3 linked regions of the Saccharomyces cerevisiae S288C genome follow. The protein of the gene in region 1 interacts with the protein of each later gene in a pairwise test. Each region holds a gene or a part of one and is shown on either strand. Other genes may lie near its edges. The genes, in order: LSP1, FLC1 and MRP8.

What was found.
Region 2: the proteins of LSP1 (region 1) and FLC1 interact in a protein complementation assay, tested with the Saccharomyces cerevisiae proteins (2 studies listed by BioGRID).
Region 3: the proteins of LSP1 (region 1) and MRP8 interact in binary tests that used the Saccharomyces cerevisiae proteins (3 or more experiments, as listed by UniProt).

Annotation. Positions count from the first base shown.
Region 1 is NC_001148.4:550,030-553,325, reverse strand, and holds LSP1 (lipid-binding protein LSP1), read left to right. Parts: upstream 1-1,668; coding exon 1,669-2,694; downstream 2,695-3,296. Other genes in the region: ULA1 (Ula1p), read right to left, coding at 1-1,306; AEP3 (Aep3p), read right to left, coding at 3,020-3,296. UniProt on the Saccharomyces cerevisiae protein: Together with PIL1, main component of eisosomes, structures at the cell periphery underneath the plasma membrane that mark the site of endocytosis.
Region 2 is NC_001148.4:131,429-135,188, reverse strand, and holds the start of FLC1 (flavin adenine dinucleotide transporter), read right to left. Parts: upstream 2,147-3,760; coding exon 1-2,146. Other genes in the region: FMP40 (Fmp40p), read right to left, coding at 2,961-3,760. UniProt on the Saccharomyces cerevisiae protein: May be responsible for the transport of FAD into the endoplasmic reticulum lumen, where it is required for oxidative protein folding.
Region 3 is NC_001143.9:176,767-179,834, reverse strand, and holds MRP8 (Mrp8p), read right to left. Parts: upstream 1,321-3,068; coding exon 661-1,320; downstream 1-660. Other genes in the region: succinate dehydrogenase cytochrome b subunit SDH3, read right to left, coding at 1-168; ribosome biogenesis protein LTV1, read right to left, coding at 1,663-3,054.

The sequences.
Region 1 (3,296 bases):
GCTTTATAGCCTCTTGAACCACTGCACCTCCAAAAAAGGCCATTACGGAATAGTTATCGTCGACTCGTAAACCAATAAACTCATCTTTATCCTCTGCAGTTACTGCCGGTTGCTCCCAGAATTGGACCATAACTAATGCATCTAAAAGGGCATTCGAGGTGCTAAAAATACCTAACAAGTCACTTTTTGGCGGCAATATTTTCCTGACCTCCCCGTAATGAGAACAAAATGTCTCCAAGACATCCTGTGAAACTATTTTTTTACTGCGAGCCAAACTTTCCTCCACACGAGACTTGTCAAGCTTTGCTTTTACTTCATACAGTTTCTTGAGTCTGATATAATTTTCCGTTGTTGACTCCATATCTGGGAGAGTGCCCGTTAAAGGTTGAAAGCTGAGCTCCCCATTCTCTTTAGCAATATTTTTCAAAGTCAATAATAGTGTGAGAATCTCGTAGTTATAAGTATCATGCCAATCGTTCCCATAATCTGATATTTCCAAATTTCGGAGCAGATCTTCCAGTTCTTTACAACAATCATTTTGAGAGCAGGCCAAGTAAGCATAGCGTTTAGCTTCCACATAATTGGGTTCGTAGATAACATCATTCCCTAAAGGAAGGCAAATTTGGTCTAAAACTTTCTTCATCTGATCAATCGTTATCCTCCCATTATTACCATCCCTTTCAAGTTTTGCAATACACTTCATGAGCAAAACAGTATATGGAATACCAGAAAACGTGGCTGTATCCATTTTACTTAGGTCAAATGTATCTACGTAATTTATTAGTTCAGGCCAAGGGTTCTGTAACCGTAAATCATACTTCTTACTATCTGGGTGTGCTTGCAAAACAAAATGTGTTTCTGAGAGTACCAGATATATATATCCATAAAATCCAGAGACGAAAGTGTTTAGAACAGGCGGAAACTTTGTTCCTCTCTGCCGCCTAATCTCATTTAAATCGAGCATCGCAGTTTGCTCACCAATACAAGTCAAGATCACCACCGAGAAGCGGGTCCAATCATACTGAGGTTGCTGTAACGTCTTTCTAAGGTCATTTTCCTCATATTCTAGCTGTTTAGAAGCCAATGGCTCAAGATCTTTTTTAAGCTCTGCTAAAAACAGAGAACCCGATTGAACTGCACACTCTACTTTGAGCCAAGTAAGAGATGATATTCCGGCAAGCACCAGATTCTTAAAAACTTCCTGCAGCAAAGGTGTAGCAGGTCCTACCACGCACACACGGGACCGGTTCAAACTATCTTGGCCCAATGCTCCCCATAGTCTCAGCTGTCTATCATATCTTTCCATATTTTCATCTACGGCTGTCTAGTTGGCCTAAGAAAGAAAGAGAGGCGACTCATTTTTTTGACGTCAATCGTCTGACTTGTCCTTCTATTTCATTGCTAGGCTAGAAAGCTTAGCTCTTACAACCCCGCTCGTTGCAGCCGAGTGAAAAGGGGATTGCGAAAGGCGTTAGAGGGGATAAAAAGGGGCCCTTTAAAAAAAAGACGGAAAAACCGGGAAGATGCAACGGCTAAATCGCAATATATAAACAGGTGAGATAGAAAAGAAAAAAATCAGTTAACCTCTTTCCTCAATTCCAATGCTTGACCGTAAATTCTCTTTATTTGGTATACGAAAGATTAAACTTTCAAAGCTCCAACACAAGAATGCACAGAACTTACTCTTTAAGAAATCAAAGAGCTCCAACGGCTGCTGAGCTACAAGCTCCTCCACCACCACCATCCTCAACGAAGTCCAAGTTCTTCGGAAAGGCCTCTATTGCGTCTAGTTTTAGAAAAAATGCGGCTGGTAACTTTGGGCCAGAGTTGGCTCGTAAATTATCTCAATTGGTTAAGACTGAAAAAGGTGTCCTTAGAGCTATGGAAGTTGTTGCCAGCGAACGCCGTGAAGCTGCAAAGCAACTGTCTCTATGGGGTGCTGACAATGATGATGATGTTTCCGACGTAACCGACAAATTAGGCGTCTTAATATATGAGTTGGGTGAACTACAGGACCAGTTCATCGATAAATATGATCAATACAGAGTCACATTAAAATCAATTAGGAACATTGAAGCCTCTGTTCAACCTTCGAGAGATCGTAAGGAAAAGATCACAGATGAAATTGCCCATTTGAAATATAAAGATCCTCAATCAACAAAAATCCCAGTTTTAGAGCAAGAACTAGTTCGTGCCGAAGCTGAATCTTTGGTTGCGGAGGCTCAATTATCGAATATCACACGTGAAAAATTAAAGGCTGCTTATAGTTATATGTTTGATTCATTAAGAGAGCTTTCTGAAAAATTTGCCCTGATTGCTGGATACGGAAAGGCCTTATTGGAGCTGCTAGATGACTCTCCTGTCACTCCAGGTGAAGCTAGACCAGCGTACGATGGCTATGAAGCTTCTCGCCAAATTATTATGGATGCTGAATCGGCCTTGGAATCTTGGACCCTAGACATGGCTGCAGTCAAACCAACTCTTTCATTTCATCAGACCGTTGATGACGTCTATGAAGACGAAGATGGTGAAGAAGAAGAAGAACCTGAAATCCAAAATGGAGATATCCCCGGTCAAGTAGTCGAAGAAGAGGAAGTTGAATGGACTACTGAAGTTCCTGTAGATGATGAAGCCCATGAGGCCGATCATCATGTTAGTCAAAACGGTCATACCTCCGGTTCTGAAAACATCTGAGTTTTTTCTAATAATTAATATATTCGAACCTTTCTATATTGTGCTTGTTTTTCACCAGCTCGTGTCTACCTATTATTAATTTCATCTGAATTTGGTTCAAGTATTGTTCGGCCAATATTCCGGTATTGTAATCACCTTTATAATTAATTGAACAAATTTTATAAGACCTAATAATTAACCTTTCTCTTGTTCTCCTTTGCCGTAAGAGATTCAACTTTTCGAAGTCTAATTAAATGAATATGATCTATGAAGTATATATGTACAATAAAAATGCCTATATTAATAAAATTCCTGTCCAAATGCCAGGGCACTTATGCCTCCCTCATCAAACCTCCCCAACTATTCTCCTCTTTACTAGCTCTTTTTTGAAAGCTACATCATTGTCTTTGATATACGCCATTCTTTTTTCCAAAGCAGCCTTTGTGGCTATTGCTTTAACCCGATTTCGATATTCTCTTTTTTTCTGGGAAATGTTTGAGGGTAGGTTTGTGGGCTTCTGATGATCTTGTGCTGTATTGGTGCAGCGTAAAGTAGTGGGGATACAACCCAAAAAACGTAGTATTTTTTTTTGTGAAGAATCACTTTCTTTCCAAATTTTCCAA
Region 2 (3,760 bases), 420 kb from region 1:
TAGGCGAAGAGCTGGCGCGGTCAGGAGAAACCTCTTGTTGTGTTATCTTATCCGGAGCGCTGCGCTTGAAACTGCCCAGTTTACTCTTATTCCTTTTGATTGATAATGAACGTAAAACCTTTTCAGAAAAGGTTGGACGGGTGGTTTCCTTACTGCTACTTTCAGCATTCTCTGAATTAGTTCCTGTTTTCTCGTCATCGTATTCAACTCCGAAAAGATTATCTTCACTTTTACCTTCTTGACTCTTCAGTTCGTATTCCCAATTTTCGGTATGATCCTTTGCCACATTACCTAGGGCCATTAATTCGTTGGCCACTGACTTATTCAAGGCACCTTCATGAGGAATAGCATGCTTTTGGAAAGATGCTCTGTCATCCTTTGCTGGCTTGAACCTGGAGTCAGGATTCTTAGAAAACAGAATGATTGTGGTAAAGGCCAGAATCATCAACAGTAGAAGCAAAGAAAACGCAGCATTCATAATGAAAAACACCCAGCCCATGATGGCAGAGACAGCATACTTTTGGTTAAACAAGTTTGAGAAAAACATGAAAAGGAAAGAGTTGACCAAGGTGACAGTGCAAATAAAAATGTTGACAATATTCGTTGGACGGTCCAAATATGGTTTATAACGGATGATGGCAACAAAATACGCCAAGTCAATAATGAAAATAGCCAATGCTTGCGTTTTACCTGATGCCTGTGCGAATCCGACAAATAAAGCTTTTACAAGAATATACGTCGTTAAAAGAGCATTCCACCAATAATGTTTTGCGTTGAACATGGTGTAGAAAAACCCGTACTTGTTTAAGACGTACTCATCACCATACAATAAAGCAGCTGGGTTATTGTACATTTCCACAGATTTACTTGCGAAAAAAATGGTTCTGTACGCAGCCCACGCCATCAACCCGCATGACAATACAATGAATAGGCATGCAATAACAATAACACCGGCGGAATCCCGTTCAGTGAACTCCCAAAAACTTAAAATTGTCAGTTGCGTGAACCCAATATAGATGTATCTTAACAACGATCCTTTCAGAACTGACCTCCAGTTTTTCCTAAATTGGTAAAACCTATCACTCCGCATCCAACCACATCTTATACATAACTCGATACTGTATTTGCAGGCCATGATAAACCCGGCCAAAAAATAACCGCACAGCACAAAGAATGTGAACCCAGTACAAACGATGGCCGTATTTTCAATCTTCATACGGTATCCCATTCTTTTAATTCCTCGAAAGATTAAAGTGTTTGAGTTACCGTACAAGACATTTTCCGCCCTCTTGTAAACCGAAGTATTTTTAAGGTAATCCAGACCTCGTTGAGTGAGCACTGACATTGTTGTCGCGGTCAAATATAGAGATGCGGAGCCTCCAGTCGCCTCTACATACCAACGGAAGATTTTCTGCATAAATGTAATACGGATCAAGCCCATCGACCAGGCAAGGTTTTCAGACCAGGCAGCAGCAATGGGTGGAACACTGTCTACATGTTGCATTGCGACCACAGCGACAGATTGGAAATATAAGAACAGTGACATGGTGTTTGCAGAAATGTGAGATGCTGCTGTGGAGTTCCCGAAGGTGGACAAGACAGCGGAAGTTAATAAACCAATACCGGCGATAACAGCTGTCACCCATTTAACCCCAATTTGTGATACAGTTTTCCCATTGGAAAAGAAAACCTGGATACAAGCCAAATTTTCACTTACGTTGTTATAAATGTTCAATCTTACGTACGCATCAATATCGGGCACTTGGTAGGCAATTCCCGGAATCATTTTCACGTACTTCTGGGCAATGTATTCAATGGAGTCGATTTGTATGTTACCTGGGTGCACAGGGCAAAACTGCTTCCAACCCATTGAACACACGTCGAAGTTCTCCGTAATAATCTTGAACCCGTAGGCATACACGTCCACATAAGCGTAGATGTAAGAGTCGATCTGCGTGGTCATATCCAGATCGTAATGTAGCGATCGATCGTCTGGAGAAAACGACACATCGAAACTATTGGCTGAAAGCTGTGAGTTCTCCATGCACGTGACCAGTGAACTCGCTGTCAGTGTCCTTTTCTTGGCGGCCACTGGTAGTACCAGGCATGTGCATATTAGACACCAGAGCGTCACTAGTACTTGCATTCTTAACGCCGTTTTTGGTCGGGTATGTGTGTCAATAATGAAAATAATCTCTTTGCTGCCAGGTATTCTTTCTTTTATAAACCTCTAGCCAGAAATATCCGTGCTTGATCTTTCTGCGTTTCTTTTTTCTATGTGTGCCTCCGCTTATTTCTTGTTCTTTCCCAAAAAAATTCCGCAGTTTCCCAAAACGGCAATGTGAGCAAGTATGGTTAAGTTAGTTCTCGAGCGATCGGTTCAGATTCGCATAGCAGGATTTTGCTTAAGAAGACTCAAAAATAAAAATCGGAAAGAAAGTGAGTATTAATATATAAAAAATGCAAGGAAAAGGAAGAGAGCTTGGTCAGCACCCGGGACAGAAGGCCAGAAGATGGGTCCTTTAAAGTGTCAGGTCTTTAGCAGGTGCGTAGGAAACGCATGTGGTAGCTCGTTTCGTCATTAGCGTCTCGTAGTGGACAATAACGATGGATACGCAGTCAAAACGGCGGAGACTGTTTCTCACTGTTTTTACCCTTCTTGTTCTGCCCGTCTCTTGTCTCTCTCCTCCTCTCCGCCTCCGCCTCGTTTCCTCTCTTTTTTTTTTTTTTTTAATAATCTAAATAAGTTTTCGTGTTCGTGTCCGGTGCCAGTCGTTCGGCTACCCTTGTCTCTTTCCCCTTTTGAGTTTATAAACGACTCTCCGAACGCGGTGTACGTGCTTTTACACCGAGGAGATACCTGAGCAATTGGTGACTACCGTGCCTACTTGCGCCATATTACATGTATATATATATATGTATATATATAGCTATGAATGTATAAATACATCTGTGGTCATTTAGCTACTGCAGGAAGCTTGCATCATAAACTTAGCGTCATCTTGGTGGGAAAGGTCAGCCCATTTTGTCTCCAGTTCTGGCCGCAGAGTGACATCCCATTTCGTGCGGTCGTATGGGTTTACGCTCATTAGGTATAGCTTCTTCAACGCAGATGTATCTAGCTCCGAACTGGGATCTTGTAGGCCATCCCTTTGACTGTACATTAAATCGTCGACTACTTCCTCCAGTACCCAACTTCTGGGGACAAACAACGGGTTGGCTTTCTTGGCAAGCGACGCTCTTGCAGCAGTTTCCGTGGGTGGGACCAAGGTCAAATAGTCTTGGGTCCAATTGCGTATTTCTTGCAATTTTTCGTTGAGCAAACGCAATTCGCCGTTAGCGTCAAAGACCTTCTCACCAGCCGCGAAGGCCTCTTCAGTTTCTGCCATTTGCTGCAGTTGCTTGGAGTTGAAGAACATACCCAAGTACTCTTCATCGAATGCTCCAAAAAGTGTTGCGGTGTCACTTTTATCTTTGATGAAGAAGGGCCCCTTGTAATTTTGTAGATGGATAAAAAAATTGTTATAGTCGACTTTTGTGGCCTGCAGAATATCTAGCAATGGTTCGACGATAACATCGCAGAACTCTTTAGCCTTCTCGGCTGCATGTTCGATATCTTTGAGGTTTGTAGAAGACATGCACTTTTCCAGATCCAGATCTACACCGAGTCTTTGAGACATTATCTGCGCGTACCTTGTCGTAAACACATACTTGTACTCATTAGCACTGAGCTCTACCAACTTCTGGACCCTTTCAATCA
Region 3 (3,068 bases), on another chromosome or scaffold:
CATTTCACTGGCCACATTCTTCAATGGTGAGGTAGAAAGGAAGTTTGTTCTAGCTGTATTAAAAAGCAGCCTCCTCGAGGAGCTCAAGGCAGCTGCTCTTGAAAAGGCGGAGGGTTTCAGTAATAGAGCCGACTTATTCAGTCCTAACTTGACCATCATTGCAGACATCGTTTATTATTCTTAGAGCTTGTGATTGGCAATTTTTGGTTGGTCCTGAGATTTCTATGCGGGGATCTCGATATCATAATGCCAGTGCACATTTATACAAGTACCAAACGCTTAGAGCGGAAAACGGAGCGGGCTACCGCAGCCAATCAGAATGGACCTGGTCAAAAGTTAGATGATGCTTAAGACTACTGAATGGTATACAAGGTAATATATAGAAGGCTGTTGGTATACAGCTTTCAATCACAGATAAAAAGTATAGGTATACTTATGGGAGGAAAACTTTGAATTCTTTTCTTCTCTTTTTCACCACTAGAACATCCTTTAACTGCAATGCCGCGGAAAACATAGGTTTCATTGAAAGAGAATCCTGTTATGATATACTCAAAACTATATGTATATAGATATATATATATATATAAGTGAGGGAAATTTCTAGAACCTGGAACTCAAGCCCTCTTATTCATTGATTTTTCATTTTTTTTCATTTTCTGTTTACCATATTTCGGTTCCTCTTCTAAGGGAGAGACCTAGATAGCGGGCAACATCATTAAATGCATCATCTAGCTCATCTTTGGAGAACTTTTCCAACTCCTTAGAAATCTCTTCATCAGTGGTCTCATTAATGTGAAAGGCTTCCACCTTACCTTCCAGGAAGTTTTCAAAATCTTCTTGTTCCTTTAGAGTTGGTGGCAATCTTTCGTAGAATTTAGCAAGTCTTACCAGTTTTAAGTCTGGGATGTCTTTAAATTCTTTCAACGACTTAGGGAACACTCCGTCTGAAATAGCAGGAATATCACCATCTGCATTAGGCAGTGGCGCTATAACGTCATCATCATCTTTTTTCAAAGAGTTAACAAGTCTTCTGATAGACCTTTCCTCGATGAAATTTAGCTCACCCTGTAGTTCTTTGACTAATTCCACTAGATCTTCATTTGTGGCAAAATCAGTGGCATCGAATTGAGTAGCGGATCCTGATTTCTTCGAGATAGATTTAGAGAATTTCGAATCAAAATCAGTTACGTCGTGCTTTTGTTTATCTAACTGCAATTCCAGCACACGCTCTCCTGTCTTAGAGATAATCAGACTTTGCTTCTTCACTAAGTCTTGTAATTCAGAGACTTGCTTCTGCAGTAATTCAATTTCGTTAGACATTTTCTTCCTGCTATTTATTTATGTGTATTTACTTCCTTTCTTAAAATGTACTTTATCTGCGGAATACGAGTAGTAAGACAAGATATCTCAAACGGTTACTAATTTGAACGGCTCTTTGAAGCAATGCACGCCGGTTTTCTTTATACTAAAACAATATTTGAATAATGAAAATCGACCTCCTTCCTCCACCCCCTTTCTCCGAAATCCACAAAGAGCACCGCCGCGTTTCATAATTATTACCCGGTGGGCAGGATGTATTTTAGCATCAATGCATTCTAGGCTAAGTATACATGTCTACACAGTACTTGTAATGTAGGTGCTTTCTCATCTCATTCTACTCCTCTAAAATTTTAAGCTGCTTAGTGTATTGGTGACCTTCTCAAGTTTCTTTTTCTCTTGCCTTTCACGATTTCTTCTCTGAGACAGTTTACCTTTGCTTACTTCATCAGCAGCTTCCTTCAGCCTTTCAATTTCTTTATCTTTCTTAGCCAGTTTACGGCCACCACTCTCCAGTTCGTAATTGTCCAAAAAGTCATCAAGCATTGACTCAAAATCAGATCTTTCTGCTGACATGTCAAATGGTTGGTAATTTTGTTCTTCGTCCTCTTCTAGTTCTTCCTCATAATTTTCGTAACCATTGATGATTTGATCGTACTGATCATCCAGTACTGTCATCGTCTCTGTACGCGCAATGGCACTTGAACTCATGGAAAATCCAGATACATCTGACATGGCACCCTTTTTTTGACGGCTCTTTCTTTTCTTCTTCCCCGTCTTGCTTTTGTCTTGGATAGAGGGCAATTCGCCCAGCACATCTTCCTCTTCAGAGGGATTTACACTGTCTAAACCTGCATTAGAAAATTCATCATCCGAGTTATGCTTTTCTAGTATAGAGTTATCTTTTTGAAATCTTCGAACATCAGCTTGATAATCGATATTTTCCAAGTCCTCCAGGTTTTCGATGTTATCAAATTGCGCCATTTCCTTAACGTAGTTTTCATCTTCAAAATTTTCTACATTATCAATATCCCACTCATCAAACTCATCCTCGAATTCGTCTTCATCTTTTGCTTCACCGCTCCCTAGTAATTGTGCGAAAATGTCATCTTCCTTTTCTTCTTCTCCATAGTTATCGCCTTGAAGTTGTGTCTTTTTGCTGATGTCTTCAACCACAACATCATCATTAACAACATATGCTTCATCTTCTAAAGCTTCAAGCACCTCTCTTAATGCAGGATTCATATCAGGTTTGAAACCTCTAATTTCATCGGTGGTATCTTGTTGGTGTAGTAAATATTCTGGCTTTGCCATCCCTCTTTGAAACACAGGTAGCGCGTCATCCTTCTCAATTTCATCACGTCTATACTTAGGTTCGATGAATAAATCTTCAATGTTTTTTTTTTCGACCTTCTGTTCATTGCCTTTGGATGCTATAAAGATGGAGTTTTCAGGGTCGAGACCTATTGGCTTCAAATGTTGAGTATAATCGTATTCAGAATCATCAAAATTAATACCATATAAAGCTGCTTCTCCCACATGAGCCCTCCTACCCTTTGGTTTTGTTGAACTCACGTCTTTTTTTCGAAGATCTGCTTCTGGAGAAGTTTTATTTGGATTGGAGACAGGAACCAAAACGTGCGCAGAGGCATCTGTATCATAAAATGAAGGATCATCATGGGGTCTGTGTACCACCACGTACCTTTGGGAGTTTTTAGAGCTAAATTTCTTCGACATCTTCGTGCTTTTTA